Linked DNA regions of Struthio camelus. The protein of the gene in region 1 interacts with the protein of each later gene in a pairwise test. Links are inferred from orthologs where the notes say so. Each region holds a gene or a part of one and is shown in the gene's direction. Other genes may lie near its edges. The genes, in order: MAPK7 and UBE2C.

Evidence for each region.
Region 2: the proteins of MAPK7 (region 1) and UBE2C interact in binary tests that used the Homo sapiens proteins (3 or more experiments, as listed by UniProt). The two-hybrid records come from large-scale screens. The link is inferred for Struthio camelus from reciprocal best matches to the Homo sapiens genes MAPK7 and UBE2C.

The regions. Positions count from the first base shown.
Region 1 is NC_090973.1:405,565-420,384, forward strand, and holds the start of MAPK7 (mitogen-activated protein kinase 7), read left to right. Parts: upstream 1-7,953; 5' UTR 7,954-8,012; intron 8,013-9,259; 5' UTR 9,260-9,266; coding exon 9,267-9,438; intron 9,439-10,730; coding exon 10,731-10,896; intron 10,897-11,846; coding exon 11,847-13,567; intron 13,568-14,820. Other genes in the region: ZNF668 (zinc finger protein 668), read left to right, coding at 1,622-4,906. UniProt on the Homo sapiens protein: Plays a role in various cellular processes such as proliferation, differentiation and cell survival. The upstream activator of MAPK7 is the MAPK kinase MAP2K5.
Region 2 is NC_090959.1:19,294,471-19,308,491, forward strand, and holds UBE2C (ubiquitin-conjugating enzyme E2 C), read left to right. Parts: upstream 1-9,061; 5' UTR 9,062-9,339; coding exon 9,340-9,440; intron 9,441-9,513; coding exon 9,514-9,541; intron 9,542-9,613; coding exon 9,614-9,700; intron 9,701-9,884; coding exon 9,885-10,089; intron 10,090-10,222; coding exon 10,223-10,282; intron 10,283-10,446; coding exon 10,447-10,505; 3' UTR 10,506-10,683; downstream 10,684-14,021. Other genes in the region: DNTTIP1 (deoxynucleotidyltransferase terminal-interacting protein 1), read left to right, coding at 3,704-3,790, 3,866-3,936, 4,250-4,346, 4,568-4,666, 5,366-5,434, 5,885-5,941, 6,169-6,230, 6,580-6,625 and 5 more; regulator of G-protein signaling 9-binding protein-like, read right to left, coding at 10,943-11,427, 11,628-11,774; TNNC2 (troponin C, skeletal muscle), read right to left, coding at 12,546-12,577, 12,670-12,806, 12,900-13,014, 13,089-13,232, 13,344-13,395. UniProt on the Homo sapiens protein: Accepts ubiquitin from the E1 complex and catalyzes its covalent attachment to other proteins. In vitro catalyzes 'Lys-11'- and 'Lys-48'-linked polyubiquitination.

The DNA.
Region 1 (14,820 bases):
TGAGCATTGCACAGCCCCCCCCGCAGTGCATTGCACCCCCCGAGCATTGCACAGCCCCCCCATGATGCATTGCACCCCCCTGAGCATTGCACGGCCCCCCCCATGATGCATTGCACCCCCTGAGCATTGCACGGCCCCCCCGCGGTGCATTGCACCCCCCGAGCATTGCACGGCCCCCCCCCCATGATGCATTGCACCCCCCTGAGCATTGCACGGCCCCCCCCATGATGCATTGCACCCCCCGAGCATTGCACGGCCCCCCCCGTGGTGCATTGCACCCCCCGAGCATTGCACGGGCCCCCCCGCGGTGCATTGCACCCCCCTGAGCATTGCACGGCCCCCCCATGGTGCATTGCACCCCCCGAGCATTGCACGGCCCCCCCCATGGTGCATTGCACCCCCCTGAGCATTGCACGGCCCCCCCCGTGGTGCATTGCACCCCCCGAGCATTGCACGGGCCCCCCCGCGGTGCATTGCACCCCCCTGAGCATTGCACGGCCCCCCCCGTGGTGCATTGCACCCCCCGAGCATTGCACGGGCCCCCCCGCGGTGCATTGCACCCCCCTGAGCATTGCACGGCCCCCCCATGATGCATTGCACCCCCCTGAGCATTGCACGGCCCCCCCCATGATGCATTGCACCCCCCTGAGCATTGCACGGCCCCCCCATGATGCATTGCACCCCCCGAGCATTGCACGGCCCCCCCCATGATGCATTGCACCCCCTGAGCATTGCACGGCCCCCCCATGATGCATTGCACCCCCCTGAGCATTGCACGGCCCCCCCCATGATGCATTGCACCCCCTGAGCATTGCACGGCCCCCCCATGATGCATTGCACCCCCCTGAGCATTGCACGGCCCCCCCCATGATGCATTGCACCCCCCGAGCATTGCACGGCCCCCCCATGGTGCATTGCACCCCCCCGGGCGTTGCACGGCCCCCCCCCATGATGCATTGCACCCCCCGAGCATTGCACGGCCCCCCCCATGGTGCATTGCACCCCCCGGACATTGCACGGCCCCCCCCATGATGCATTGCACCCCCTGACCATTGCACGGCCCCCCCCATGGTGCATTGCACCCCCCGAGCATTGCACGGCCCCCCCCGTGGTGCATTGCACCCCCCCGAGCATTGCACGGCCCCCCCCATGGTGCATTGCACCCCCCTGAGCATTGCACGGCCCCCCCCGCGGTGCATTGCACCCCCCGAGCATTGCACAGCCCCCCCGTGATGCATTGCACCCCCCGAGCATTGCACGGCCCCCCCCGTGATGCATTGCACCCCCTGAGCATTGCACGGCCCCCCCCATGATGCATTGCACCCCCCCGGGCGTTGCACGGCCCCCCCCCTCCTGCATAGCACCCCCTACTCCTCGCCTGGCCCCGCCCCACCATGCCCCGCCCCCGCCCCCCTCCCGCCATCTTGTGCGCTGACAAAGGAGCTGGGGGGAGGGGCGCCCCCCCCCGCCCGGCTGCAGCATTGGGGGGGGGAGGGAGAACACGCCTGCGACACGCGTGTACGCGGGGGGGGGAGGGGGGAGGGGACCCAGGCGTCCGGGCGCCGCTGCTGCTGCTCCTCCTCCTCCTCACCCGGCCCCTCCCCCCGCCCAGGTCGCCGCCATGGAGGGGAACGGGGGCGAGGGGCGCGCCGCCGCCTGCGACCACCCGCGCGGTGATGGGTGCCACGACCCGCGTGATGATGGGTGCCATGACCCGCGTGACGATGGGTGCCATGACCCGCGTGACGATGGGTGCAACGACCCGCGTGATGATGGGTGCAACGACCCACGTGATGATGGGTGCCACGAGAGCCGTGATGATGGGTGCCGTGACCCATCGCGTGATGATGGGCGCAACAAGACCCGCGATGACGCCCACTATGACCCGCGCGATGACGCCCACCATGACCCGTGTGATGACGCCCACCATGAGCTGCGCGATGACGCCCACCATGACCCTTGTGATGATGCCCACCATGAGCTGCGTGATGACGCCCACCATGACCCTTGTGATGATGCCCACCATGACCTGCGCGATGACGCCCACCATGACCCGCGTGACGATGGGTGCAACGACCCACGTGATGACGGGTGCAAGAAGACCCATGATGACGCCCGCAACGCCCCGCGTGATGATGGGCGCAACGACAGCCATGATGACGCCCGCAACGCCCCGCGTGATGATGCCCACCATGACCCACGTGATGATGCCCACCATGACCCGTGTGATGATGGCTGCAAGAAGACCCGTGATGATGCCCACCATGACCCTTGTGATGGTGGGCGCAACGAGAGCCATGATGATGGGCGCAACGACAGCCATGATGATGGGCGCAATGAGAGCCATGATGATGGGTGCAACGAGAGCCATGATGATGGGTGCAACGAGAGCCATGATGATGGATGCAACGAGAGCCATGATGATGGGCGCAACGAGAGCCATGATGATGGACGCAACGAGAGCCATGATGATGGGCGCAACGCCCCGCGTGATGATGGGCGCAACGACAGCCATGATGATGGGCGCAACGCCCCGCGTGATGATGGACGCAACGACAGCCATGATGATGGGCGCAACGAGAGCCATGATGATGGGCACAACGAGAGCCATGATGATGGGCGCAACGCCCCGCGTGATGATGGGCGCAACGACAGCCATGATGATGGGCGCAACGACAGCCATGATGATGGGCGCAACGCCCCGCGTGATGACCCGCCCGCCGCCCCGCCGCCCTACGTCAAGTCGGGCCGCCGCTACCAATGCCCGACCTGCGCCAAGACCTTCCCCAACCCTCCGCGGGCCCTGCGGCACGCTCGCACCCACGCCGCCCCGCCGCCCCCCACCACCGCCCCCCTGCCCTGCCCCGAGCGCGACCAGCCCTTCGCCCAGGCCTCCTGCCTGCGCGCCCGCCGCCGCCCGGCCGCCCCCCTGCCCTTCGCCTGCGCCGCCTGCCCCAAGGCCTACGGCACCCTCGCCAAGCTCACCGTCCACCAGCGGGCCCACACCGGCGAGCGCCCCTTCGCCTGCCCCGAGTGCGCCAAGGCCTTCGCCGACCCCTCCGTCTACCGCAAGCACCGGCGCGGCCACGCGGGCCTGCGGCCCTACCGCTGCGCCGCCTGCCCCAAGGCCTACGCCGAGCTCAAGGACCTGCGCAACCACGAGCGCAGCCACACGGGCGAGCGGCCCTTCCTGTGCGCCGAGTGCGGCAAGGCCTTCGGCCGCTCCTCCTCGCTGGCCTGCCACCAGCGCATCCACGCCCCCCGCAAGCCCTACGCCTGCCCCCGCTGCCCCAAGGCCTTCACCCAGCTCTCCTCCTTCCAGAGCCACCAGCGGGTGCACACGGGCGAGCGGCCCTTCCTCTGCCCCCAGTGCGGCCGCATGTTCGCCGACCCGTCCAGCTACCGGCGCCACCAGCGGGCCCACCAGGGCCTCAAGCCCTACGGCTGCGGCGAGTGCGGCAAGGCCTTCCGGCAACCCGCCGACCTGGCCGTGCACCGGCGCGTGCACACCGGCGAGCGGCCCCACCGCTGCCCGCAGTGCGACAAGGCCTTCGTGGCCTCCTGGGACCTCAAGCGGCACCGGCTGGTGCACTCGGGCGAGCGGCCCTGGCGCTGCGGCGAGTGCGGCAAGGCCTTCGCCGAGCGCGCCGGCCTCACCAAGCACCGGCGCGTGCACTCGGGCGAGCGGCCCTTCGCCTGCGCCCGCTGCGGCAAGGCCTTCGTCGTCTCCTCCAGCCTGCGCAAGCACGAGCGCACCCACGGCCACGAGGCCGCCCCCGTCACCAGCGTGGGTCCCGACGTGGCCGCCCTCGGCGGAGGAACTTCATCCTGTGGCGGCCCCAACATGGCCGCCCCCGGCGCAGGGCTGGCGTCCAACATGGCTGCTCCCGGAGCAGGGCTGGTGTCCAACATGGCCGCCCCCGGAGTAGGGCTGGTATCCAATATGGCTGCCCATGGCGGAGGAACTTCATCGTGTGGCGGCCCCAACATGGCCGCCCCCGGCGCAGGGCTGGCGTCCAACATGGCCGCCCCCGGAGTAGGGCTGGTATCCAATATGGCTGCCCATGGCAGAGGAACTTCATCATGTGGCGGCCCCAACATGGCCGCCCCCGGCGCAGGGCTGGCATCCAACATGGCCGTTCCCGGCAGAGGGCTGGCATCCAACGTGACCACCCCCGGCGGAGGGTTGGTGTCCAACATGGCCGCCCCTAGCGGAGGAACTTCATCGTGTGGCGGCCCCAACATGGCCGCCCCCGGCGCAGGTCCGGCCCGCGTGGGCCCCAACATGGCCGCTGCCGGCGGAACTCTGTTGTGTGGCGGCCCCAACATGGCCGTCCCCGCTCTGTCGTGTGGAGGCTCCAACATGGCCACCGCCGGTGGAGGCCCGGCCTGCGCAGGCCCCAACATGGCCGCCCCCGGCGGAACCCTGTTATGCGCCGGCCCCAATATGGCCGCCCCTAGCGGCGCCCGGGCCTGCGCAGGCCCCAACATGGCCGCCCCCGGGGGAACTCTGCTGGGTGGCGACACCAACATGGCGGCGCCCAGCGGAGCCCCGGCCTGCGCAGGCCCCAACATGGCGGCGCCCAGCGGAGCCCCGGCCTGCGCAGGCCCCAACATGGCGGCGCCCAGCGGAGCCCCGGCCTGCGCAGGCCCCAACGTGGCGGCGCCCGGCAGAGCCCCGGCCGAGGGGGCGGGGCCGGAAGGGGCGGATCCCTCTGGTGGAGGCCCCGCCCCCTCACCCGAGCTCCGCCCCTTCGCCTGCCCCCACTGCCCCAAGCGCTTCGGGGCCCGGGGGGGGCTGCGCAAGCACCAGCGCCGCCATGACCCCGGCCCCGCCCCCTCGGCCCCGCCCCCACGTGGGAGGGCGGGGCTCCGCCACGGCTCCGCCCCCACGGGCCCCGCTTAGGGCTCCGCCCGGGCCCCGCCCCTCCCAGAAGGGGGCGTGGCTTCCCTCCCCGGCTCCGCGGCGGGAAAATAAAGGGCCCAATCGGATCCTCCGGCTTCCGCTCGTCTCTGGCCCCGCCCCCCCCCAAGGGGCCCAGGCGTCCGGGGCCCCGGCAGCGACTCTCTCTCTCTCTCTCTCTGGTTCCGGCTCTTTATTGGCCTCCGGGAGCAGCGAGACGGCCCCGTTGGCTGCCCAGAGCGGCCGCCGCCTCCTCCCGGCCAATCCCGCGCCTCCGTTCTGCCCCGCCCACTGGCTCCCAGCCAATGGCGTGCTCCGCCCTCTCCGGTCTCCTCCCGGCCAATCCCCGGGCGGGATCTGCCCCGGATTCCCCTCGATGATGTCACGCCGCTCTCGGCCAATCCCGCCCCCCCCCAACCACCCACTCTCGGCCAATCCCATCGCGGTCCCTCTCCTCTCAGCCAATCCCGCGTCTGCTCCCCGCCCACCCGGCCACCCCCTCGCCCAACGGCATCGCAGAGGAGGCGGGGCTGTCCTCCCGCCCAATCAGGGCTGGGGGCGGGCGGGGCGCCCGGACGCCTGGGCCCCGGGGCGGGGGGGCGGGGTGAGGGGCGGGATGGGCAGCGGTTCCGGGTCACGGCCTCCATGGGGGCTCTGCCCCTTGGGGGGCTTCTCCATGGCCACGTGTCCTCCAGGAGCCTCCATCTTGGGGGGCTTCTCCATGGCCACGTGTCCTCCAGGAGCCTCCATCTCGGGGGGCTTCTCCATGGCCACGTGTCCTCCAGGAGCCTCCATCTCGGGGAGCTTCTCCAAGCCCACGTGTCCTCCAGGAGCCTCCATCTTGGGGGGCTTCTCCATGGCCACGTGTCCTCCAGGAGCCTCCATCTCGGGGGGCTTCTCCAAGCCCACGAGTCCTCCAGGAGCCTCCATGTCGGGGGGCTTCTCCAAGTCCACGTGTCCTCCAGGAGCCTCCATCTCGGGGGGCTTCTCCAAGTCCACGTGTCCTCCAGGAGCCTCCATCTTGGGGGGCTTCTCCAAGCCCACGTGTCCTCCAGGAGCCTCCATCTCGGGGGGCTTCTCCAAGCCCATGCGTCCTCCAGGAGCCTCCATCTCGGGGGGCTTCTCCAAGCCCATGTGTCCTCCAGGAGCCTCCATCTTGGGGAGCTTCTCCATTGCCCCCAAGCCCACGTATCCTCCAGGGCTCTCCACCTTGAAGTCCATTTCCATCAGCCCCATGTTCAGGGGTTCTCCAGGGCTCTCCATCTTGGAGTGCGCCTCTATCGCCTCCAGGCCTAGATGTCCTCCAGGATGCTCCATCTTGGGGCGCACCTCCACCACCTTCAAGCCCAGGTGTCCTCCAGGATGCTCCATCTTGGGGCGCACCTCCACCACCTTCAAGCCCAGGTGTCCTCCAGGATGCTCCATCTTGGGGCACACCTCCACCACCTTCAAGCCCAGGTGTCCTCCAGGATGCTCCATCTTGGGGCGCACCTCCATCACCCCCAAACCCAAGTGTCCTCCAAGACTCTCCGTTTTCGGACGCATCTCCAGGTCTAGAGGTTCTCCAGCACTTTCCACCTTGACCTGCACCTCCAAGGCCGGGCGTCCTCGGGCACCTTCCGCCCCGGCTCCGTCCCGGGCGACCTCCCTGCTGCCGTCCTGGATGGACTAAGGGGTCCCGGATGCCTGGGCCCCTCCTGTTCACCCACCTCTGGAGGTGCTATGGGGTCCCGGACACCTGGGACCCTCCTGCTCACCCACCCCTGGAGGTGCTATGGGGTCCCGGATGCCTGGGCCCCTCCAGTCTTGGATGCACCCGGACGCCTGGGCCCCTCTGGTCCTGGGGGCACCCGGATGCCTGGGCCCCTCCAGTCCTGGATGTGCCCGGACACCTGGGCCCCTCCGGTCCTAGACGCACCCGGACGCCTGGGCCCTCTGGTCCTAGACGCACCTGGACGCCTGGGCCCCTCCGGTCCTGGATGCACCCGGATGCCTGGGCCCCTCCGGTTCTGGGGGCACCCTGACGCCTGGGCCCCTCCGGTCCTGGATGCGCCCGGACGCCTGGGCCCCTCTGGTTCTGGATGTGCCCGGACGCCTGGGCCCCTCCGGTCCTGGACGCGCCCGGATGCCTGGGCCCCTCTGGTTCTGGATGTGCCTGGACGCCTGGGCCCCTCTGGTTCTGGGGGCACCCGGACGCCTGGGCCCCTCTGGTTCTGGATGTGCCCGGACGCCTGGGCCCCTCTGGTTCTGGGGGCACCCGGACGCCTGGGCCCCTGCGGTCCTGGGGGCACCCAGACTCCTGGGCCCCTCTGGTTCTGGATGTGCCCGGACGCCTGGGCCCCTCTGGTTCTGGGGGCACCTGGACGCCTGGGCCCCTCCGGTCCTGGACGCGCCCGGACACCTGGGCCCCTGCAGTCCTGGATGCGCCCGGACGCCTGGGCCCCTCCGGTTCTGGGGGCACCTGGACGCCTGGGCCCCTCCGGTCCAGGATGTGCCCGGACACCTGGGCCCCTCCGGTCCTGGACGCGCCCGGACACCTGGGCCCCTCCGGTCCAGGATGTGCCCGGACGCCTGGGCCCCTCCGGTCCTGGACGCGCCCGGACACCTGGGCCCCTCCGGTCCAGGATGTGCCCGGACGCCTGGGCCCCTCCGGTCCTGGACGCGCCCGGACGCCTGGGCCCCTCCGGTCCAGGATGTGCCCGGACGCCTGGGCCCCTCCGGTCCTGGACGCACCCGGACGCCTGGGCCCCTCTGCCTTAGGGGCCCCCGGACGCCTGGGCCCCTGCGAACCCCCTCGGGGGCGGGGTCAGAAGCCGAAGGGGGGCGGGGCCCGGACGCCTGGGCCCCGCCCGCTGCCGCTGGGCGGCCGGTTGGGGGGGGCGGGAGGAAGGATCCGGCCCCGCCCCCTTTCGGCCCCGTGACGTCACTTCCCCAAACGCCACCCTCCCCCACCCTCTCCGGCGCGGCCCCTCCCCGCGGAAGCCCCGCCCCCCCTCGCTCCGGCCCGGGGAGCCGCTGCGCGCTGATTGGGCGGCGGCGGAGGGGGCGGGGCGAGGCGCTACATCCGGGGCACCGCGGGGAGCGGCGGGAGCGGCGCGGCCGGGGGGAGGTGAGCGCCGTCCCGGGAACCCCCCTCCCTCCCCCGCCCGCCCGCGGTCTCCATGGCAACCGCCGCCGCCGCCGCCGCGGCGTCGCCGTGGCAACCGCGCCCTTCCCCGCCCGCCCCTTCCCCCCCCCGCCGCCGCCGCCGCCCCGCTCCCCGCGTCGCCATGGCGACCGCGCCCAACCCCGCCCCGCCCCGCCCGAGCGGCGTCGCCATGGTGACGGAGCGGGGCGGGGTGCGGTCGCCATGGCGACGGCGGCCCCTCCCCGGACGCCTGGGTCCCTCCCGGACGCCTGGGCCCCTCCCGGACACCTGGGCCCCCCCCAACCCCAGACACCTGGGCCCTCCCCGGACACCTGGGCCCCTCCCAGACACCTGGGTCCCTCCCCGGACACCTGGGCCCCTTCCCGGACGCCTGGGCCCCTCCCCGGACACCTGGGCCCCTTCCCGGACGCCTGGGCCCCTCCCGGACACCTGGGCCCCTCCCGGACGCCTGGGTCCCTTCCCCGGACGCCTGGGCCCCTCCCGGACACCTGGGCCCCTCCCGGACACCTGGGTCCCTTCCCCGGACACCTGGGTCCCTTCCCCGGACACCTGGGCTCCTCCCGGACTCCTGGGCCCCTTCCGGATGCCTGGGCCCCTTCCGGATGCCTGCGCCCCTCCCCGAACACCTGGGTCCCTTCCCCGGACACCTGGGTCCCTTCCCCGGACGCCTGGGCCCCTCCCGGACACCTGGGTCCCTTCCCCGGACGCCTGGGCCCCTGACATAGCCATGTCGCATGGCGGGTAGGCCCGGACGCCTGGGCCCCTGTGAGGCTGGCGCAGGATGGCGGAGACTGGGGAGCGGCGGGGGGGGGGGTGCTGGGGTTGGGGGAGACCCGGACGCCTGGGCCCTTCCCCGGACGCCTGGGCCCCTCCCGGACGCCTGGGCCCTTCCCCGGACACCTGGGCCCCTCCCGGACGCCTGGGCCCTTCCCCGGACACCTGGGCCCCTCCCGGACGCCTGGGTCCCTGTGGGGCAGGCGCAGGATGGCGGAGGCGGAGGCCGGGGAGCGGCGGGGTTGGGGGGGGACCCGGACGCCTGGGCCCCTCCCGGACGCCTGGGCCCCTCCCGGACGCCTGGGTCCCTGTGGGGCAGGCGCAGGATGGCGGAGGCGGAGGCCGGGGAGCGGCGGGGTTGGGGGGGGACCCGGACGCCTGGGCCCCCCCGGACGCCTGGGCCCCTCCCGGACGCCTGGGTCCCTGTGGGGCAGGCGCAGGATGGCGGAGGCGGAGGCCGGGGAGCGGCGGGGGGCGCCCGGCGGCCCCCTGGCCCTGCTCAAGGCCCGGGCGCTGGACGTCACCTTCGAGGTGGGCGACGAGTACGAGATCATCGAGACCATCGGCACCGGCGCCTACGGCGTCGTCAGCTCGGCCCGCCGCCGCGACACCGGTGAGCCGGACGCCTGGGCCCCACCCTCCCCCCCCCCCGGTGACGCGAAGGGCCCGGACGCCTGGGCCCCAGGGTGGGAGGGTCCCGGACGCCTGGGCCCCTGCAGCTTGAGGGTCCCGGACGCCTGGGCCCCTGCGGCATGAGGGTCCCGGACGCCTGGGTCCCTGTGACACGAGAATCCCGGACACCTGGGCCCCAGGGTGGGAGGGTCCCGGACACCTGGGCCCCATGGTGGGAGGGTCCCGGACGCCTGGGCCCCTGCAGCTTGAGGGTCCCGGACACCTGGGCCCCTGCGGCATGAGGGTCCCGGACACCTGGGTCCCTGTGACACGAGAATCCCGGACACCTGGGCCCCAGGGTGGGAGGGTCCCGGACACCTGGGCCCCATGGTGGGAGGGTCCCGGACACCTGGGTCCCTGTGACACGAGGATCCCGGACGCCTGGGCCCCTGTGGCATGAGGGTCCTGGACGCCTGGGTCCCTGGGGAGTGCGAGCCCTGGACGCCTGGGCCCCAGGGTGGGAGGGTCCTGGACACTTGGGTCCTCGGGGAGCTGGAGCCCCGGACGCCTGGGCCCCTGCGGCATGAGGGTCCCGGACACCTGGGTCCCTGTGACACGAGGATCCCGGATGCCTGGGTCCCTGGGGAGCAGGAGCCCCGGACGCCTGGGCCCCTGTGGCATGAGGATCCCGGATGCCTGGGTCCCTGGGGAGCAGGAGCCCCGGACGCCTGGGCCCCTGTGGCATGAGGGTCCCGGACGCCTGGGTCCCTGTGACACGAGGATCCCGGATGCCTGGGTCCCTGGGGAGCAGGAGCCCCGGACGCCTGGGCCCCTGTGGCATGAGGGTCCCGGACACCTGGGCCCCGGGGAGCTGGAGCCCCGGATGCCTGGGCCCCTGTGGGGTGAGGGTCCCGGACGCCTGGGCCCCATGGTGGGAGGGTCCCGGACACCTGGGTCCCTGGGGAGCGGGAGCCCTGGATGCCTGGGCCCCTGTGGCATGAGGGTCCCGGATGCCTGGGCCCCTGGGGAGTGGGAGCCCCGGACGCCTGGGCCCCATGGTGGGAGGGTCCCAGACGCCTGGGTCCCTGGGGAGCGGGAGCCCTGGACGCCTGGGCCCCAGGGTGGGAGGGTCCCGGACACCTGGGTCCCTGGGGAGCAGGAGCCCCAGACGCCTGGGCCCCGTGGTAGGATGGTCCCGGCTGCCTGGGCTCCTGGGGTGGGGGTGAGGCTCCAGGACACCTGGGTCCCTGAGCGGCTGAAGAACCCCCGGACGCCTGGGCCCCTGGGGCGCAGGCCAGCAGGTGGCCATCAAGAAGATCCCCAACGCCTTCGACGTGGTGACCAACGCCAAGCGGACGCTGCGCGAGCTCAAGATCCTCAAGCACTTCAAGCACGACAACATCATCGGCATCAAGGACATCCTGAAGCCCACCGTGCCCTACGGCGAGTTCCGCTCCGTGTGCGTGCCCGGACGCCTGGGCCCCCTCCCGCGGGGTTGTGGGGTGGAGTGGGTGCTCTCGGACGCCTGGGTCCCTCGAGGGGCTGCCCGGACGCCTTGGTCCTCGGTGTGGTGGGGTTGATGATGCTGGACGTGGAGGTCCACCTAGCTGGGTTCCCGGACGCCTGGGTCCCTTGTGGGGTTGTGGGGCGGAACTGAGTTTCCCGGATGCCTGGGTCCCTGTGGGGTGGAGCGGGGTCCCCCGGACGCTTGGATCTGCCATGGGGTGGAGCGGGGCTCCCCAGAGCTCTGGGTCCTCAGTGGGGCAAAGTAGGGTCCCCCGGACACCTGGGCCCCCCATGGGGTACATGGGATGGAGCAGGGCCTCCTGGACGCCTCGATCTCCTCTGGGGTCGAACGGGATCTCCTGGATGCCTGGGTCCCCCACGGGGCACATGGGACGGAGCAGGACACCCCCGGACACCTGGGTCCCCCATGGGGCACATGGGATGGAGCAGGGCCTCCTGGATACCTCGATCTCCTCTGGGGTTGAGTGGGTCCCCTGGGTCCCCCCGGACGCCTGGGTCCCCCATGGGGCACATGGGATGGAGCAGGGCCTCCTGGACGCCTCGATCTGCTCTGGGGTTGAGTGGGTCCCCCCGGACGCCTGGGTCCCCGGTGGGGCACATGGGATGGAGCAGGGCCTCCTGGACGCCTCGATCTGCTCTGGGGTTGAGTGGGTCCCCCCGGACGCCTGGGTCCCCCATGGGGCACGTAGGGCGGAGCAGGACACCCCTGGTCACCTGGGTCCCCGGTGGGGTTCATGGGACGGAACGGGACCCCCCCCACCACCACCACCCGGGACACCTGGGTCCTCAACGAGGGGCTGGGCGCGGGGTGGAACGGGACCTCCGAGAGCCCGACCGCGTGCACGCCGGACGCCTGGGCCCTTTACCTTTCGCCGGCCGCAGCTACGTGGTGCTGGACCTGATGGAGAGCGACCTGCACCAGATCATCCACTCGCCGCAGCCGCTGACGCTGGAGCACGTGCGCTACTTCCTCTACCAGCTGCTGCGCGGCCTCAAGTACATCCACTCGGCCAACGTCCTCCACCGCGACCTCAAGCCCAGCAACCTGCTGGTCAACGAGAACTGCGAGCTCAAGATCGGCGACTTCGGCATGGCCCGGGGCTTGGGCGCCGACCCGCGTCACGCCAAGGCCTTCCTCACCGAGTACGTGGCCACCCGCTGGTACCGGGCGCCCGAGCTGCTGCTCTCCTTGCACCGCTACACCCGCGCCATCGACATGTGGTCGGTGGGTTGCATCTTCGCCGAGATGTTGGGTCGCCGGCAGCTCTTCCCGGGTCGCAACTACGTGCACCAGCTGCAGCTCATCATGGCGGTGCTGGGCACGCCGCCGGCCGCCGTCATGGCGGCCATCGGGGCCGAGCGGGTGCGGGCGTACGTGCAGAGCTTGCCGCCCCGTCCGGCCGTGCCTTGGGAGAGCCTCTTCGGCGACGCCGAGCCGGCGGCGTTGGCCCTGCTGGGTCGCATGCTGCGCTTCGACCCCCGCGAGCGCCTGGGGGTGGCCGAGGCCTTGCGTCACCCCTTCCTGGCCAAGTACCACGACCCCGAGGACGAGCCCGAGTGCGTGCCCGCCTTCGACTTCGCCTTCGACCGCCGCGCCCTCACCAAGGAGGAGATCAAGGCGGCCATCGTGGCCGAGATCGCCGACTTCCACGCCCGCCGCGACGGCATCCGCCGCCACATCGCCTTCGCCCCCGCCGGCGGCGCCGCGGTCGACGCCGACGGCACCGGGGTCAACGTCGACGGCGGTATGGTCAACGCCGACGGCACCAGGGTCAACGTCGACGGCAGTATGGTCAACGTCGATGGCGCCGGGGTCAACTTTGATGGCACCGGGGTCAACCTCGATGGCGGCATGGTCAACGTTGATGGCGGCATGGTCAACGTCGATGGTGCCAGGGTCAACTTTGATGGCGCCAGGGTCAACCTCGATGGCGGCCTGGTCAACATTGAGGGCCCCAGGGTCAACCTCGATGGCGCCGCGGTCAACGCTAGCATCAACGGGGTCAACGCCAGCGCTGCCGCGGCCAACGCCAACGCCGCCATGGCCAACGCCGCCTTGGCCAACGCCAACGGCCCCCTGGCCGGCGTGGCTATGGGCGGCACCAACGCCGCCGTCGGCATGGCCAACGCCACCGCGGCCGACGCCAACGCTGCTATGGCCAACGCCGCCTTGGTCAACGCTAACGGTGCTTTGGGCAACGTGGTCATGGCCAACGCCGGCGTGGGCGTGGCCAACGCCGCCATGACCAACGCCGCTTTGGCCAACGGCGCCCTGGCCAACGCCGCCATGGCTAAGGCCACCTTGGCCAACAGCAGCATGGGCGCCGCCAACGCCGTCATGGCCGAGGCCAACATCGCCATGGCCAATGCCGGCCTCCCCATGGTGGGCGTCTCCGTGGCCAACGCCAACGTGGCCTGGCCCTGCGCCGACGTGGACATGCCCAGCCCCGGCCCCGCCCCCGACTGCCCCATGGACTCGCCCCGGGTCAAGGCCGAGCCGGGGGCCCCGCCGGCCCCCAAGCGCGACGGCGCCATCTCCGACGACACCAAGGCCGCCCTCAAGGCCGCCCTGCTCAAGTCGGCCATGAGGAACAAGAGCAAAGGTGAACGGTGCCCGGACGCCTGGGTCCCTGGCGGTGCTCGTGGGTGGTTCTGGGCTCCATCCCTGGGACTCCTGGGTCCCCTGATTGGGTGGTGGCCCTGGACTGGTGGGTCCCGGGTGGTGGTGGTGGACGTCTCTGGGCTGCATCCCGGGACTGGTGGGTCCCGGGTGGTGGTGGTGGGCGTCTCTGGGCTGCATCCCGGGACTGGTGGGTCCCGGGTGGTGGTGGTGGGCGTCTCTGGGCTGCATCCCGGGACTGGTGGGTCCCGGGTGGTGGTGGTGGGCGTCTCTGGGCTGCATCCCGGGACTGGTGGGTCCCGGGTGGTGGTGGTGGACATCTCTGGGCTGCATCCCGGGACTGGTGGGTCCCGGGTGGTGGTGGTGGGCGTCTCTGGGCTGCATCCCGGGACTGGTGGGTCCCGGGTGGTGGTGGTGGACGTCTCTGGGCTGCATCCCGGGACTGGTGGGTCCCGGGTGGTGGTGGTGGACGTCTCTGGGCTGCATCCCGGGACTGGTGGGTCCCGGGTGGTGGTGGTGGACGTCTCTGGGCTGCATCCTGGGACTGGTGGGTCCCGGGTGGTGGTGGTGGACGTCTCTGGGCTGCATCCCGGGACTGGTGGGTCCCGGGTGGTGGTGGTGGGCGTCTCTGGGCTGCATCCCGGGACTCGTGGGTGCCGGGTGGTGGTGGTGGACGTCTCTGGGCTGCATCCCGGGACTGGTGGGTCCCGGGTGGTGGTGGTGGACGTCTCTGGGCTGCATCCCTGGACTGGTGGGTCCCGGGTGGTGGTGGTGGACGTCTCTGGGCTGCATCCCGGGACTGGTGGGTCCCGGGTGGTGGTGGTGGACATCTCTGGGCTGCATCCCGGGACTGGTGGGTCCCGGGTGGTGGTGGTGGACGTCTCTGGGCTGCATCCCGGGACTCGTGGGTGCCGGGTGGTGGTGGTGGGCGTCTCTGGGCTGCATCCCGGGACTGGTGGGTCCCGGGTGGTGGTGGTGGACGTCTCTGGGCTGCATCCCGGGACTCGTGGGTGCCGGGTGGTGGTGGTGGGCGTCTCTGGGCTGCATCCCGGGACTGGTGGGTCCCGGGTGGTGGTGGTGGGCGTCTCTGGGCTGCATCCCGGGACTGGTGGGTCCCGGGTGGTGGTGGTGGACGTCTCTGGGCTGCATCCCGGGACTGGTGGGTCCCGGGTGGTGGTGGTGGGCACCTCGGTCCCCCGTCCCCGGACTCCTGGGCCCCCTGACCCGCGGCTCCGT
Region 2 (14,021 bases), on another chromosome or scaffold:
ACAACACAATACACCACTAGAGGACAAGGAACAAAGTCACATCTGTGATGGAGAACATATTACTGGTAACTGAGCATGTCCTTACAGCACACGAGTCTTCAAGTCCCACTCACATTCCCCAAGGCATTATATTTCTTCCTTTCACACTGCAGCAACTACTAGTCTATTTCGTTCGCAAATGTTTGAGGACAACTCCAATCAGATTCGTGTACAGCCAGTATCCTCTCCTCTTCCTCTACAAATCCACTTCTGTTGATTTATCACGGAAAAGAAAACAAAATCAATGAAACGGCAACAACTGAGTTATTAGGTACTCAGGAAGAATAGAATTTCTTCATATAGTCATATATTGTGGAAATAAAATTCCTAATGATTGGGAACAACCAAAATTGCCCATAAAAATTCCAACACTGATGAAAATGAAGCCATGGCAACACTAACGATGACTTCAATGGCCACATGTCCACAGGTTTAATTTATATAACAGCCTGATCTCATTCACGGTCAATGCAGCCACAGTTAAAGTAGCAGGAAAGAGGCCACAAAAGCAGGAGTCTCTTGTACTACACGAACAGAAGATGAGCCACATAGCCTCCCTCCTCAGCAATAAACACTAACCAGCAAGTCCTGATCTCACAAAGGTGCCAAGTGCTATTTAGCACTACACCGACAGTTACAATGGACGATTCAAACCAAGCATACTAAGGGGATCACACTCGTAAGTTGACGTGTTATAACGCTGAAAGAAACGTCAAAAGATGATCTTGTTTCCTCTCTTACGCTGAGACACAATCAGGTACGCCTAGGTCACTACGGACAAACACTTGGTGATATACTGAAAATGACTGCTTGAACACACTCTCTATACTCATCGAGTATTATCTCCATCATCCTTTAGATTAGTTACTCTTTGAACAAGAGACACCGAACTGCCCTAACACAACGCATTTTGGCAAACCCAATTCGCCGGTTTTTATCTTATAATCTTTTTGGAAGTAACAAATTTTACCAACAAAACAGCAAATCTGCCTCTTAAATTTTCATCCACCTGACCCAACAGAAAAAGCTTCACGTTAACCAATGTACAAGGGTAAAAAGGTCTAATGAACAATGGACAAATCATTTTGAATATTCTAGACGTTGTAACTGATCAAGCTGACACGTTAAATTTAAGGAACACTGGCTTCAAATATTTCCTATATTTCCTAAGCCACACAATGAGATTCAGGAATCCTGAGAGGCTTGCAGCAAAGAGACACACAGCTTATTAAGATTGGAACTGCAACAACTTTATTTTTGTATTTCAGGTATACTAGATCAGACAACAAAAATATTTACAGACAATAAAAGAACAAATATTTACATTTCTATAACTGTAATTATTTTGGTACCGTAGGTAAGATTAGTGTGCTACCGATTTCAGTCTGAGGAAGGTCTCAATATTTCCAATTTTGGTGGAAAAGTTTTTTTTTTAAGCTTTAAGACTTCTGATTATTTTTGAGAGCTGACAGTCAGTCCATCACTACAAATTCATCCATGACAGCTGTACTTTTGAACAACTGGGGATTCTTTTCTTGCTATAAATTTTTACATTACCTGGTATTTACATACTTTTTTGAGAGGGAATATGCATACCAATAGGTAATGTGTAAAATAAACCATGAGGAAAAAATGCACCTGCAAGCACAGAGGGAAATAAGCGTGGATGTCTTAAATTTACAACTGCAATTTCAGTCTACTTCCATTCTCTTAGATTATTTACACACACTTTGCTGTGCTGCCTCCTACGCGAGGCGATACAAACAGCTGTGCAGCTCTTCACAGCTACGCCGAGCACCTGCGCTGCGGGACATACAGAGAGTTTAACGCTTTGACACCCAAGCTGACACCAAACAGGAAACGGCAAGCACGTTTATTGGTTCCCGTTATTTCCCCTACACCAAACCACGCAGGAGCTGGCAGGAAGGAGGCCGTTGCTCCACTAGCGCCTACCTTACCGCGTCGGAAACCTTCCCCACGCCGCCGCACCCCCGCACCCGCCCCATCACACCGCCCTCCCGCAGCGATGCACCCGTATGCCCTGCACCCCCACGGGCCCACCATCAGCACACCCACACCACCAGCACAACCCCCAATACACCCACACCACCAGCACAACCCCCAAATACACACACTACCAGCACAACCCCCAAATACACCCACACCACCAGCACAACCCCCAAATACACCCACACCACCAGCACACCCCCCAAATACACACACTACCAGCACACCCCCCAAATACACACACCACCAGCACAACCCCCAAATACACCCACACCACCAGCACAACCCCCAAATACACACACCACCAGCACAACCCCCAAATACACCCACACCACCAGCGCACCCAATACACCCTCACCACCAGCACAACCCCCAAATACACACACCACCAGCACAACCCCCAAATACACCCACACCACCAGCACACCAATACACCCACACCACCAGCACAACCCCCAAATACACACACTACCAGCACACCCCCCAAATACACACACTACCAGCACAACCCCCAAATACACCCACACCACCAGCACACCCAATACACCCACACCACCAGCACAACCCCCAAATACACCCACACCACCAGCACAACCCCCAAATACACACACACCACCAGCACACCAATACACCCACACTACCAGCACAACCCCCAAATACACACACTACCAGCACAACCCCCAAATACACCCACACCACCAGCACACCCAATACACCCACACCACCAGCACAACCCCCAAATACACCCACACCACCAGCACACACCCCAAATACACACACTACCAGCACACCCCCCAAATACACACACCACCAGCACAACCCCCAAATACACCCACACCACCAGCACAACCCCCAAATACACACACCACCAGCACAACCCCCAAATACACCCACACCACCAGCGCACCCAATACACCCTCACCACCAGCACAACCCCCAAATACACCCACACCACCAGCACAACCCCCAATACACCCACACCACCAGCACAACCCCCAAATACACACACTACCAGCACACCCCCCAAATACACACACCAGCACAACCCCCAAATACACCCACACCACCAGCACACCCAATACACCCACACCAGCAGCACACCCCCCAATACACCCACACCAGCAGCACAACCCCCAAATACACCCACACCACCAGCACACCCGACAAATACACCCGCACCACCAGCACACCCCTCCAAATACACACACCACCAGCACAACCCCCAAGTACATACACCACCAGTACACCCCCCAAATACACCCACACACTTCTACACACCCCTGTCATCCCCACACTCCTGTCACCCCCAAACCCTCCATCAGCCTCACACCCCGCCACCCCCCACACCCCCACATTGCTGTCACCCCCAAACTCGCCCGTCACCCTCACACCCCCGTCACCCTCACACCCCTCGTCACCCCACACACCCCCTGTCACCTCACACCCCCCCGTCACCCCCACGAGCCTCCTGCCCCGCCGAGGGCCGCCCACACCCCCCCGCCCCGGCCGGCCCGGGCCGGGCCCGCCGTTGCCATGGCAGCCGGGCGCTTCCGGCGGGCGGCGCGGCGCGATGACGCCGGCGCGCGGCGGCCGCTTCCGGGCGCGAGGGCGGCGGGCCGGGGCCGGGGCCGGGGCTGGGGCTGCGGCCGCGGCCGCCATGGGGGCCGCCCGCGACGCGGAGCAGCAGCCGGGCCCGCCGGGCGAGGAGGGCCCGGGCGGCGCCGAGGAGCAGCTGGTCAGCACGGTGAGGCGGGGGCCGGCGGGGGGCCGGGCCGGCGGGGGGCCGGCGGGGCCGGGGCTGACGCGCCTCTTCCCGCAGAGCCCCTGGAACATCATGATCAAGCACCGGCAGGTGCAGCGGCGCGGCCGCCGCTCCCAGATGACCACCAGGTAACGGCGGCGGGCCGGGCCGGGCCGGGCCGCGCTGCGCTGGGGGGCACGGGCCGGGCCGGGCTGGCCGGACGGAGCCGATGGGGAGCGGGACCGGGGAGGGGAGGGGTCCCGACTGGACCTGATACGGAGGGGGTGGGGGGAGACCGGGCCGGGTGGACCTGGAGGATCGAGAGGGGAGACTGCGGCAGTGGGAGGACCGGACTGGGCCAGGCTGGGAGGGGGCAGCTGGACTGGCCTGGAGGAGAGGGTCTGGATTAGACCAGACTGGGGGAGGGGGTCTGTGCCACCCACCTGATCTCTGCACCTTCAGCTTCACAGACCCAGTCGTGTCCATGGAGCTGCTGCGAGCCGTCCTGCAGCCCAGCATCAATGAGGAAATCCGAGGCGTCTTCAACAAGTACATGAAGGTGAGAGCTGCCGGGGCAGTGCCTCGTGCCACCCTGTCCCGCTGTGGGCCCTGCAGGAGGAGCTTGGCTCCTGGGTGGCTGTGTGAGGCGGTCACGCCTGTCCTGTGCCAGCCTGGCCGCTGGCACGCGGGTGCAGTGTGAGAGCACAAGTGCACCATGTGCTTGCCCCGATGTTGCCTTGCTGGTCAGGCTCTAACCTTCTCCTGCTGCCTCTTCACCAGTTTTTCCAGAAAGCAGCAATCAATGTGCGTGATAATGTCGGGGAGGAGGTGGACCCAGAGCAGCTCATCCAGGAGACGTGCCGGAGTTGCCTAGAACAGGTGGGCACCATAGCCAAGGGCCCTGCACACCCGGGGCAGCCTGGTATGTCCAGCAGCGGCAGACTACTATTTGCTTGGCTGGCTGTGCAGAGCAGCCTGCGGTAGGGCATGTTCCTCCTCACAGTCTTGCAGAATAGCCAGAGGAGGGCGTCCACAGTCCTTCCGTGGATACTGTGCTCGACTTCTTTTTCCCTGTCGAAAAGGAGAGTAGTCGGGGTTGGGTAGCTCTCAATGAACTGCTGCTTCCCACTGATGCTCTGTCCATGCTTGTTGCACACAGCTGACAGCAGGGAGCTTTCACAGTGACTCTAGTTCCCTGGTACCCGTTGAAGGTTCCTCCAACAAGACTGTGATCTTCTTCTTTCAGATCTTACTTTTGTGCCGGTCATCCTGACTTGATCGTGCTCTTGCATCTCACTGTCTGTGAACAGCACTGCGCTTTAGAATCACTCTGCAACCAGAGCTGATATAGGGCTTCTGGCCAGATACACTTGAATCTCTGGGGTCTGCAGTGACCAGCCCTTGTGGTCTACTGGGCATCTGAGTCATTAGCTATGGCCTTTAAAGTTTACCTGGCCTGGGGCTCTCTCTCCAGCGCGAGTGTCTTTGCACACATGAGCCCCTTTCATAGGGAAAGGCAGGGGTAGCTGGCAGTCCCTCTCTGGACCCAGAATCAGATAATCCTTTCTCTTCTTACAGGCCAAGCTGCTTTTCTCTGATGGCAAAAAGGTGATCCCAAGGTTGCCCCATGAGCAGGCGGTACCAAAGGTAAAAGTTGTTATTGTTCCTGTAGTCTTAAATGACTTTAAGAGCTGGAAGAAATAAGAGGAGGGTTTTGAGTTGCTTTGTTTTCTGCCTGTTCCTTATCTGTTGAATTACAGAATCAATATGTAAGTGGGGGGTACAGTGTTGTCCTTTAAAAGCTGCAGGATAGATCTCTCCCTGATATCTGGTTGTCCATCAGTTGCTCTAATGAGGGGGTAGAACTGGGAGATGTTGGGCTAGGAGGGAGGGGGTACAGAGCAACAAAAGTCCCATGCGCTGTTGCTTATTGCAACTACGTGCTTCATACCGAGATGGGTTGGCTTCAGCGTTCCCTGTGCACTTGTGCTCTGTGCCCCAAGTGCGGCAGATAAGAGAGTAGCTGACAGGGTGGGTGGGGGTTCTGACTAGACAGGGAGAAGGGCTGCTGTTCACTTCCTGCCGTTCCTTTGCCAGCGTGCCAGACAGATGGATGAGGAGTTGAATCGGCGAGGAAGCCCTGTTCCCAAAAAGGTAGGGTTTTCCACAAAAATGCTTTTATGTTATGGGAAGCCTCTTCCTCATCCTTCCCAGAAAATAAGTGCATGCAGATGCAGCTTTTGTAATGCCTTAGAGGTCCTTACTCTAGGGCTAGCCAGCACTTTGCTCGTGGTAAAAAGAGCAATTTTCCCAGCAGAGGATAACCGAAAGAGTACCCTCAGCCTACACAAATGAGTAGCTCAAGGATATCTTTCTTGCAGAGAAAGGGTCGGCCTCCAGGACAGAGCCTGGCAAATGATCGTGGGGTCTCGGGCATGGCTGCGTGAGTATGGGTTCTGACTTAGAGCCTGCGCTTGGAGAGGGTGGGGAATGAAGCAGGGAGTGTAGAAGACCCTCTGGAAAGCAAGGCCCAAAGGGGCAGAAGGGTCCAGATGGACTATTCAGGGTGAGCAGTATATGACACAGGTAGAGGTGGGATGTTGGCAGCTGGGGAGAAGAGAATGTGCAGCACGGATGAGGATCCAGAGCTGGGCACTGGAGAGAAATAGAAGGTGTGAATGCAAATGGAGCTGGGAGGGGGTGGAGCTCAGCTCCCTGCTGCTAGGTGCTTGCGGTGTTCTGTGAGTTGGTGCCTCTGGGATCCGTTCTTATTTCATTTTCCTTCCCCTCAGGTGGAAGCTCAAAGTCTCTGAGCCCGTGAGAAGGGATGGACCAAAGGTATCGGTTGGCCAACACTGCTGGGCTCACCCTCTCCTCCTCTTTGCTTCCGTCAGCAGAGCCCCACCTGCTGTGGGACCGGAGGACAGTTCTAAGCTGTGCTCTGCCCTGATGGGCCTCTGTGTTGCAAAGAAAGAAGCAAGAAGAGGAGTGAAGTGCCTGGAAGCCTATGCTCGTCTCCTCCAGTCACTGTAGCCTATAGTTCTGTGGTGTGGTACCAGCTTTTCAGGAGACTTAGGGCAAGCAGTAGTAGCCAGGAGGATCCCACGAGTGTTATGTGCCGAGGAAACTGCTTAGAGCAGCCCAGGGTGACATAATTTCCCTCCTCTGTGGAAATCCAGAGGTTTGTGGCTAGCTGCCTCCCTCCCAGCTCAGGGGGCGGTTCTGAGGCCCCCATCAGAGATCTGAGGCTCATGGAGCATTGGTTGGCACCAGCTTCATTTCTAATGTTGCCCCTTTTCCAATTGCTCTGTAGTGGGATCCATCCCGACTGACTGAAACCACAACCTTTGTGCTGGGATCTCGAGCAAACAAGTAAGGAATGGCCCTGTTGATGGAGGGTGGTGTCTCCCAGGCAGGAGCCCTTAAGACTCCTCCCATCACCTCTCTGCCTTGGAAGCAGTAGGAAGGGCACGGGCTTGGGGAGGAGAGGAGAGGAGAGTAAGTGTCCCTGTACCGCTCAGTGCCCCTTCTGCACCGGTTTAACACCCGCCTCGTGTTCCTGTTTCAGAGCTCTCGGGATGGGAGGAACAAGAGGGCGACTCTACATCAAACATCCCCACCTCTTTAAGGTCAGATACCACAGCAGGATGCTTCCTCCTTTGGGGTTTGCTCAGAAACAGTTTGTGATGGGAATCAGGAATGTATGCTTTGGCTCACTTGTTGTCTTCCTCTCCCACACCCTTGTTTGTTGTCTTAGAACATCTAGAGTCTGGCTAGCACACTGAAACATAAGCTAACAGCCTAGTGCAGCCTCTGAAGTGGTGTTTTTGCCTGGAGCCAGGGTTTTACTCTGAAGTAAAAGCAGGCAGAGCTGAGCGTTCCCTCCCTGAAGATACAGATCGGCAGCATTTGGGGGGTCGTGCAATTGCAGTGGAGCACTAGAATGGGGTTCAGTGCCCAAATACAGGGGTGGTCAGAGCAAAAGGTCTGTTGCCTGTGTTCAGCTAGGTCCTTGCTGCTTTATTGCAGTATGCAGCCGATCCGCAAGATAAGCACTGGCTGGCAGAGCAGCAGCACATGAGGGCCACTGGGGGCAAGATGGTGAGTACGTTCAGGCTTGCGCCTGCCGCAGCCTGAGAGAGAACTGTACAGAATCCCAATTCAGGATTGAAATGGGCAGGTGAGCAGTAAACCAGGGCACGTGCAGCGAAAACAGTGTGTTGTGGGGAAGGTGAGTTTGTGCAGGAGGCCAGGCAGAGCTCGGTGAGGCAGTTGTTTCTGGGTGCTTGGGGCACCTCAGCCAAGGAGATTGTGTTTTGCTGCTCCTCTGGGATTTGGGCACATATGAGAGAGTAGGGCAGAACCAGGAGGTACCAAAAGCTCCTCGTAGGAGCAGGTCTGCAGGCTGGTGGGGTTTAACAGGGCCAGCGGGAAGGGGGTTATGAGCTTCCATCACTGTGCCAGGCAGACATCTCATTTCTGAGCAGAAGCATGGTGCGTCCAAAGCTCTCGCATGGGAAACCTGAAGCGTTTTGCCCCTTGTGCTGCAGGCTTATCTCCTCATTGAAGAGGATATTCGGGATTTGGCTGCCAGTGAGGATTACAGGTGAGGCTAGAAGCCCAGAAGTCTTTTGTGCTGCAACCTTCTCCCCTTTAGTGAAAATGGCTCAGAACCAGGGGCTACCCTGCCCGTGCAAGAGCCGCAGGGGTCCCCGCTCAGCGCTGGCCTCTGCCCTCCGCAGGGACTCCGTTGACCTGAAGCTGGAGGAGCTGAAGCCCTTCATCCCACCGGCCTGGATGACGGAGAAGATGCAGAAGTACATGGAGACGCTTCGCAACGGAGGGGACCCGCTACCGCCGCCGCCGCCGGAGGGGCCCCCCGAGCCCTGAGGCCTGCCCTGCCCAGTGGCCCCGCCGCCGCCCGGCGCCACCCCGGCACCGGCCCTCGCAATAAAGCTGCTTCGCACCCGCCTCCGCTGCCTCCTTCCCGAGGGGTAGGGGGGTTGGGGGGGGGGGGTGCTGGCCCTTTAAGGGGTCCGCCTGGACCCCCCCCCCCCACCCCGGGCTGGGAGGTCACGTCACGGGTGAGCCGCCAATAGGGGAGCGTGTGTGGCGTCGCCGTGCGACCAATCGGCGGCCGGCCGCTGTTTCCAAGGCAGCCGCATCCCTTGCGAGCGGTGATTGGTCGGCTCGAAGGGAGCGCGCCGCCGATTGGCGGAGGGGCCGCGGGTTTGAAACATTCAAACGGGGGCGCGGGAGCGGCGGGGGCGAGCGGGGACGGCGGAGCGGGGACGGCGGGGCCGGCAGCGGAGCGGAGCGGGGACAGCGGGGCCCGGAGCGGAGCGGGGACAGCGGGCCAGGCCGAGCCGGGCCGGGCCGGGAGCAGCCGGGCCCGGGGCGGAGCGAAGCGAAGCCGGGGGCAGCGGGCCGAGCGGAGCCGGGCCAGGGGCAGCGGGCCGGGAGCGGAGCGGAGCCGGGGGCAGCGCCGGGCGCAGCAGGGCGCGAGCAGCCGCGGCCGGAGCCCAAGAGCAGGAGGCGGAGCGGGAGCCGCGATGGCCTCGCAGAACGCGGACCCCGCCGCCGTGCCGAGCGCGGCCGCCCGCAAAGGGGCCGAGGCGGGGGCCACGGCCGCCCGCGGCTCCGTGGGCAAGAGGTGAGGCGGCGCCGGGCGGCCGGGGCGGCTCGGGGGAGCGCGGCCGCCCCGGTAACACGAGCTTCCCCCGCAGGCTGCAGCAGGAGCTGATGTCGCTGATGGTGAGTGGGGCGCGCCGGGGTCGGGGGGGGGTCCGCTGGCTCCGAGCCCCCCTGACGGCGCTGTCCCCGCAGATGTCCGGTGACAAGGGCATTTCCGCCTTCCCCGAGTCCGACAACCTCTTCAAGTGGATCGGGACCATCGACGGCGCGGCCGGCACGGTGAGCGGCCCGGGGCACCCGCGGGGCCGGGGCGGTCCGGCCCCCCCCGGGCCCTGCCTGCCCCCCCCCACCCCCGACAGGGGCGGCCCCGGCCCCCCCGGGCCCTGCCTGCCCCCCCCCACCCCCGACGGGGCGGCCCCGACCCCCCACCCCGGCCGGCCCCCTCCCTGACTCCTGCCCCCAGGCCTACGAGGACCTGCGGTACAAGCTGTCGCTGGAGTTCCCCAGCGGGTACCCCTACAACGCGCCCACCGTGCGCTTCGTCACGCCCTGCTACCACCCCAACGTCGACACCCAGGGCAACATCTGCCTCGACATCCTCAAGGACAAGTGGTCGGCCCTGTACGACGTCCGCACCATCCTGCTCTCCATCCAGAGCCTGCTGGCAGGTGGGGCCCGGCGCGGGGTTCGGGGCTGTGCTGCCGGGGGGGGCCGGGCTGGGCGAGAGCTGCGCCCGCCGGCGGCGGGGCACGGCGGGCCGCTGGGGTCGGGGCCACCGCCGACCCCGTGCCCTGTCCGCAGAGCCCAACATCGAGAGCCCCCTGAACACGCACGCGGCCGAGCTCTGGAAGAACCAAGCTGGTGAGTGTCCCGGGGCGGGATCCCCGCTCCTGCCGCGGCCAGGCGCCGCGCAGCCCCGGACCCCGCTGCGCGGGTGCTGCCCGGCGCCGCGCTGCGCTCCTGTTGCGGGGCTGCCCGGCCGCTCTCCCGGGCCCCTCAGCACCATCCTCTCCCTCTCCTCGCAGCCTTCAAGAAGTATTTGCGGGAAACGTATGCCAAGCAGGCGAAGAGCCAGGAAACTTGACCCCGCGCTCCCCCCCTTCCCGCCGGCAGTGTCTGTCTCTCGTTCTTGGGTCTCTGCTCTCCTGCTCTGTCTCTGTCCTGCCGCTCTCCGCGGCTTTCTGTATCATAGGCTGTTTTTAAATTAATTCTGCAGTCCGAGCCACGGTTAATGTATAAATAAATGCACGTTTATAACTCTGTGCTGGGGGCCCGGAGGGTTAAGCTGCAGCCTGGCATCTTGTCCCTGCGCATGCCTGGTGGCCCCTTCCCACGGGCGCCGTGGCCCAGGCCCCTCTGCCCGTGCGGGAATCAGGAGGGACAACAAACCTCGAGGGCTGACGGGGTCTTTAATAACCCTCCGCGGTGCCCGGGGCATCGCCGGCTCCGCGGCGGCCGCGCCGCCCCAGGCTGCGGGACGGGGGTCCCAGCCCTGCCACTCTCTCGCCCGCCCGGGGCGCATCACAGGACCGCGCAGCAGTGCCCAGTGCCCGGCCGCGGCCCCGCAGCCTGCCTCTGCCCCCGAGCCGCCCCGGCCCGGGTAGCCGCGCTGCCCGCAGCCCGGCCCCGCTGCGTGGCCTCCACCGTCCACAGCGGGATGTTGGCTCTGCTCTCCATCTCCGCCAGCATGGCCCTCATCTGCTCGATCTCCTCCTCGGGCCGTGGGGCGGCCGGGGGCCGCTCGGGGCTGTGGCTGCCCTGGCGGCCGGGCCGCCCCCCGCCGCGGCACGGGCCCTCGGGCCGGCCGCCCAGCCCGGTGCGCAGCAGGGCCGCGCCGCCGGCGCCCGGCGGGCCGAAGAGCTGGCCGAGGTGGTGGGCTTTGCGCAGGTCCTGCAGGAAGAGCTCCAGGGCGCAGAGGAAGAGCACCCACAGCCGCTCCAGCTCCAGGCGCTCCTGGGGGCCGGCCGGCGGGCGCCGCAGCCCCGCCACCAGCGCGCTCCGCAGGCCTGCGGGACAGCACGCCGCTGAGCGGGGACGGATGGCCCCGCGCCCGGCCCCTTCCGACCCCCCCGGTCTGGCCCTGCCCTGAGGCAGCGGCTGCCCCAGCCCCGGCACAGGGTGGGCGGCCGGGGGCGACGCACCGCCCGGGGGGGTGACCCCAGCACCTGGCGCCCTCCCCGGTCCCCGTGGGCCAGCCGTGCCTTACCGGCGCTGAGCTCGCGCGCCCAGGCGCTGCTGCGGCGCAGCTCCTCCCGCAGCTGGGCGCAGTCCGCGCTGCCGCCCAGCTGCAGCACCAGCTGCCGGTGCCCGGCCGTGGCCCTGCTCAGAGCGGCCTGGGCGGCCGCGCACGTCCCTGCTGCCCCTGGGGCGCTGCCCGCGCCCGCTCGCGCCGCCATCCGCCGCCGCGACGCCCTGGGGCTCGGCTCCCCCGTGCCCGCGCGGCAGTTCCCGGCCGTGGCTGCGCTCCTCCCTGCCGGGGAGGCTGCGCCGAACCGCAGCAAGGGGGGTCCCCGGGGAGCGGCGACATTCCAGCAGCCTGGCACGGGGCTCCCGGCGTCACCGCTGCTCCCGGCGTCACCTCGAACCGCCGGCTCTGTCCCTCCCGGGGGGTCCCCCGGGCTTGGCGGACTCCGGCGCCCCTGCCCCGCAGCGGCGGGCAGCAGCCCCGGCCGGGGGGTCTCCTGGAGGTTGGCTGCAGGCTGGGACCCCCGGCTGAGCCAGCTCCCAGCGCCGTGGGGCCACGCGGAAAATCTGAGCTCACGGCTGGCGCCGGCCCAGCAGGCCGTGGGAACCGCCGGCCCGCGCCTTCCCGCGCTGCCCCCGCTGCCCCCCGCCCAGGGAGCCCCAGGCAGCAGCAGCTCCAGCCTTTTCCCCTTTTAATGAGGCTCAAACATAAACCGCGTCTGACGGAGCAGAGGGAAAGGCCTTGGCCGCCGTCCGCGGAGACCGGAGCTGCGGCGCGAGCGGGGGTCTCCCCAGCCGGCCCATGGTGCTGCGGGGGCCCGGCCGGAGCCGGCGGTGCGGGGCCAGGCGCTGCGGACATGCTGCTTCCCATGGGGCGCCGGCACGGCGGCGGCGGAGCGGGGCTGGAAGCAGCGGCCGGGCCCCGGGAATGTCTGGTCCCTTACTGCACGCCCTCCATCATCTTGAGGAACTCTGCAAGAGAGCGGCACCGTCAGCGCCGGGGCCTGCCGGGGGCTCGGCGCCGCGGCCCGGGGCCAGCCGGCGCGGCGGGCGCCAGCGCTCACCGTCAAAGTCGATGCGGCCGTCGTTGTTCTTGTCCGAATCCTTCATGAGGTCCTCTATGTCCTCCTCGGTGACGTGCTCGCCGGTGGCCCTGAGGATCTCGCCCAGCTCCTCGATGTCGATGAAGCCGTCCGCGTTCCTGCCGGAGGCGAGGGCAGGTGGTCGGGCCGGGCAGGATGCGGCCGCCGGCCCCCCTGGGGCAGGCGCCCATGGGCATTGCCACCCCACTCACTTGTCGAAGACGCGGAAGCAGTTGGCCAGCTCCTCCTCGGACTTGCCCTTGGCGTCCTCCTTCATCTGGCGCACCATCATCACCAGGAACTCCTCAAAGTCGATGGTGCCGCTGCCTGCGGGGAGGAAACCGCAGAGCGGTCAGGGGTGCTGCCGGGGGCCCGCCGGCCCGCCGAGGAGGGCTGCTCACCATCCTCGTCCACCTCCTCGATGATGGCGTCCAACTCCTCCTTGGTGGGGTTCTGGCCCAGCATCCTCATCACCGTGCCCAGCTCCTTGGTGCTGATGTCCCCGCCGCCGTCCGCGTCAAACATGTCGAAGGCAGCCTTGAACTCTGCCGGAAAGGGGGTGTCAGGCAGGGCAGCGTGTGGGACGAGGCCTCCGGCACCTGGGGAGAGACCCCCGGCCGGGATCCGTCCCCGCGCCCCACGGCTCCCTCACTCACCCGCGATCATCTCCTCGCTGAGGAAGGCACGGGCTTCCGCTTGCTGGTCCGTCTGCAAGGCGCGGGGAGAGGGGGTCACCACCAGCCCCGCACACCCCAGCCCCTGTGCCAGATAGCACAGCGCCGTTCCCTGGGGCGAGGAGCTTCCCAAGGGGGCAAGGAGCTTCACAACAGGGTGAGGAGCTTTATGATGGGTGAGGAGATTTGCAATGGGGTGAGGAGATTTGCAATGGAGTGAGGAGCTTCGTGATGGGGTGAGGAGCTTTATGATGGGTGAGGAGATTTGCAATGGGGTGAGGAGCTTTGTAATGGGGCCAGGAGCTTCACAATGGGGAAAGTCCTGGCTCCCACCACCAGGCTCCAGCGCATCTGCCCAGCGCAGCCCTGCAGCCTGGCACACGGGTGCCAGCGACAGAGCTTGCATGGCCGGAGTGCTAACGGCGCTGTGCGCGGGACGAGCGCGCCCTGGGCAGTCCCAGGTGCTGCTGGGCCTCCGCGCGGGCTGCGCGAGGGCTGCGGAGAGCTGCCCGGTGCGGGCCCCCGTCCCTGCCGGGGGGCCCTGTGGGGCCGAGGCCGCGGTCCCCGCCGCGCAGCCTTGGCATCCCAGGCGTGCAGCACTATTTTTGGGATCTCCTTAGCTCCCCTTATAGGGAGCAGCGGGGCTGCGGGCACCTGTCG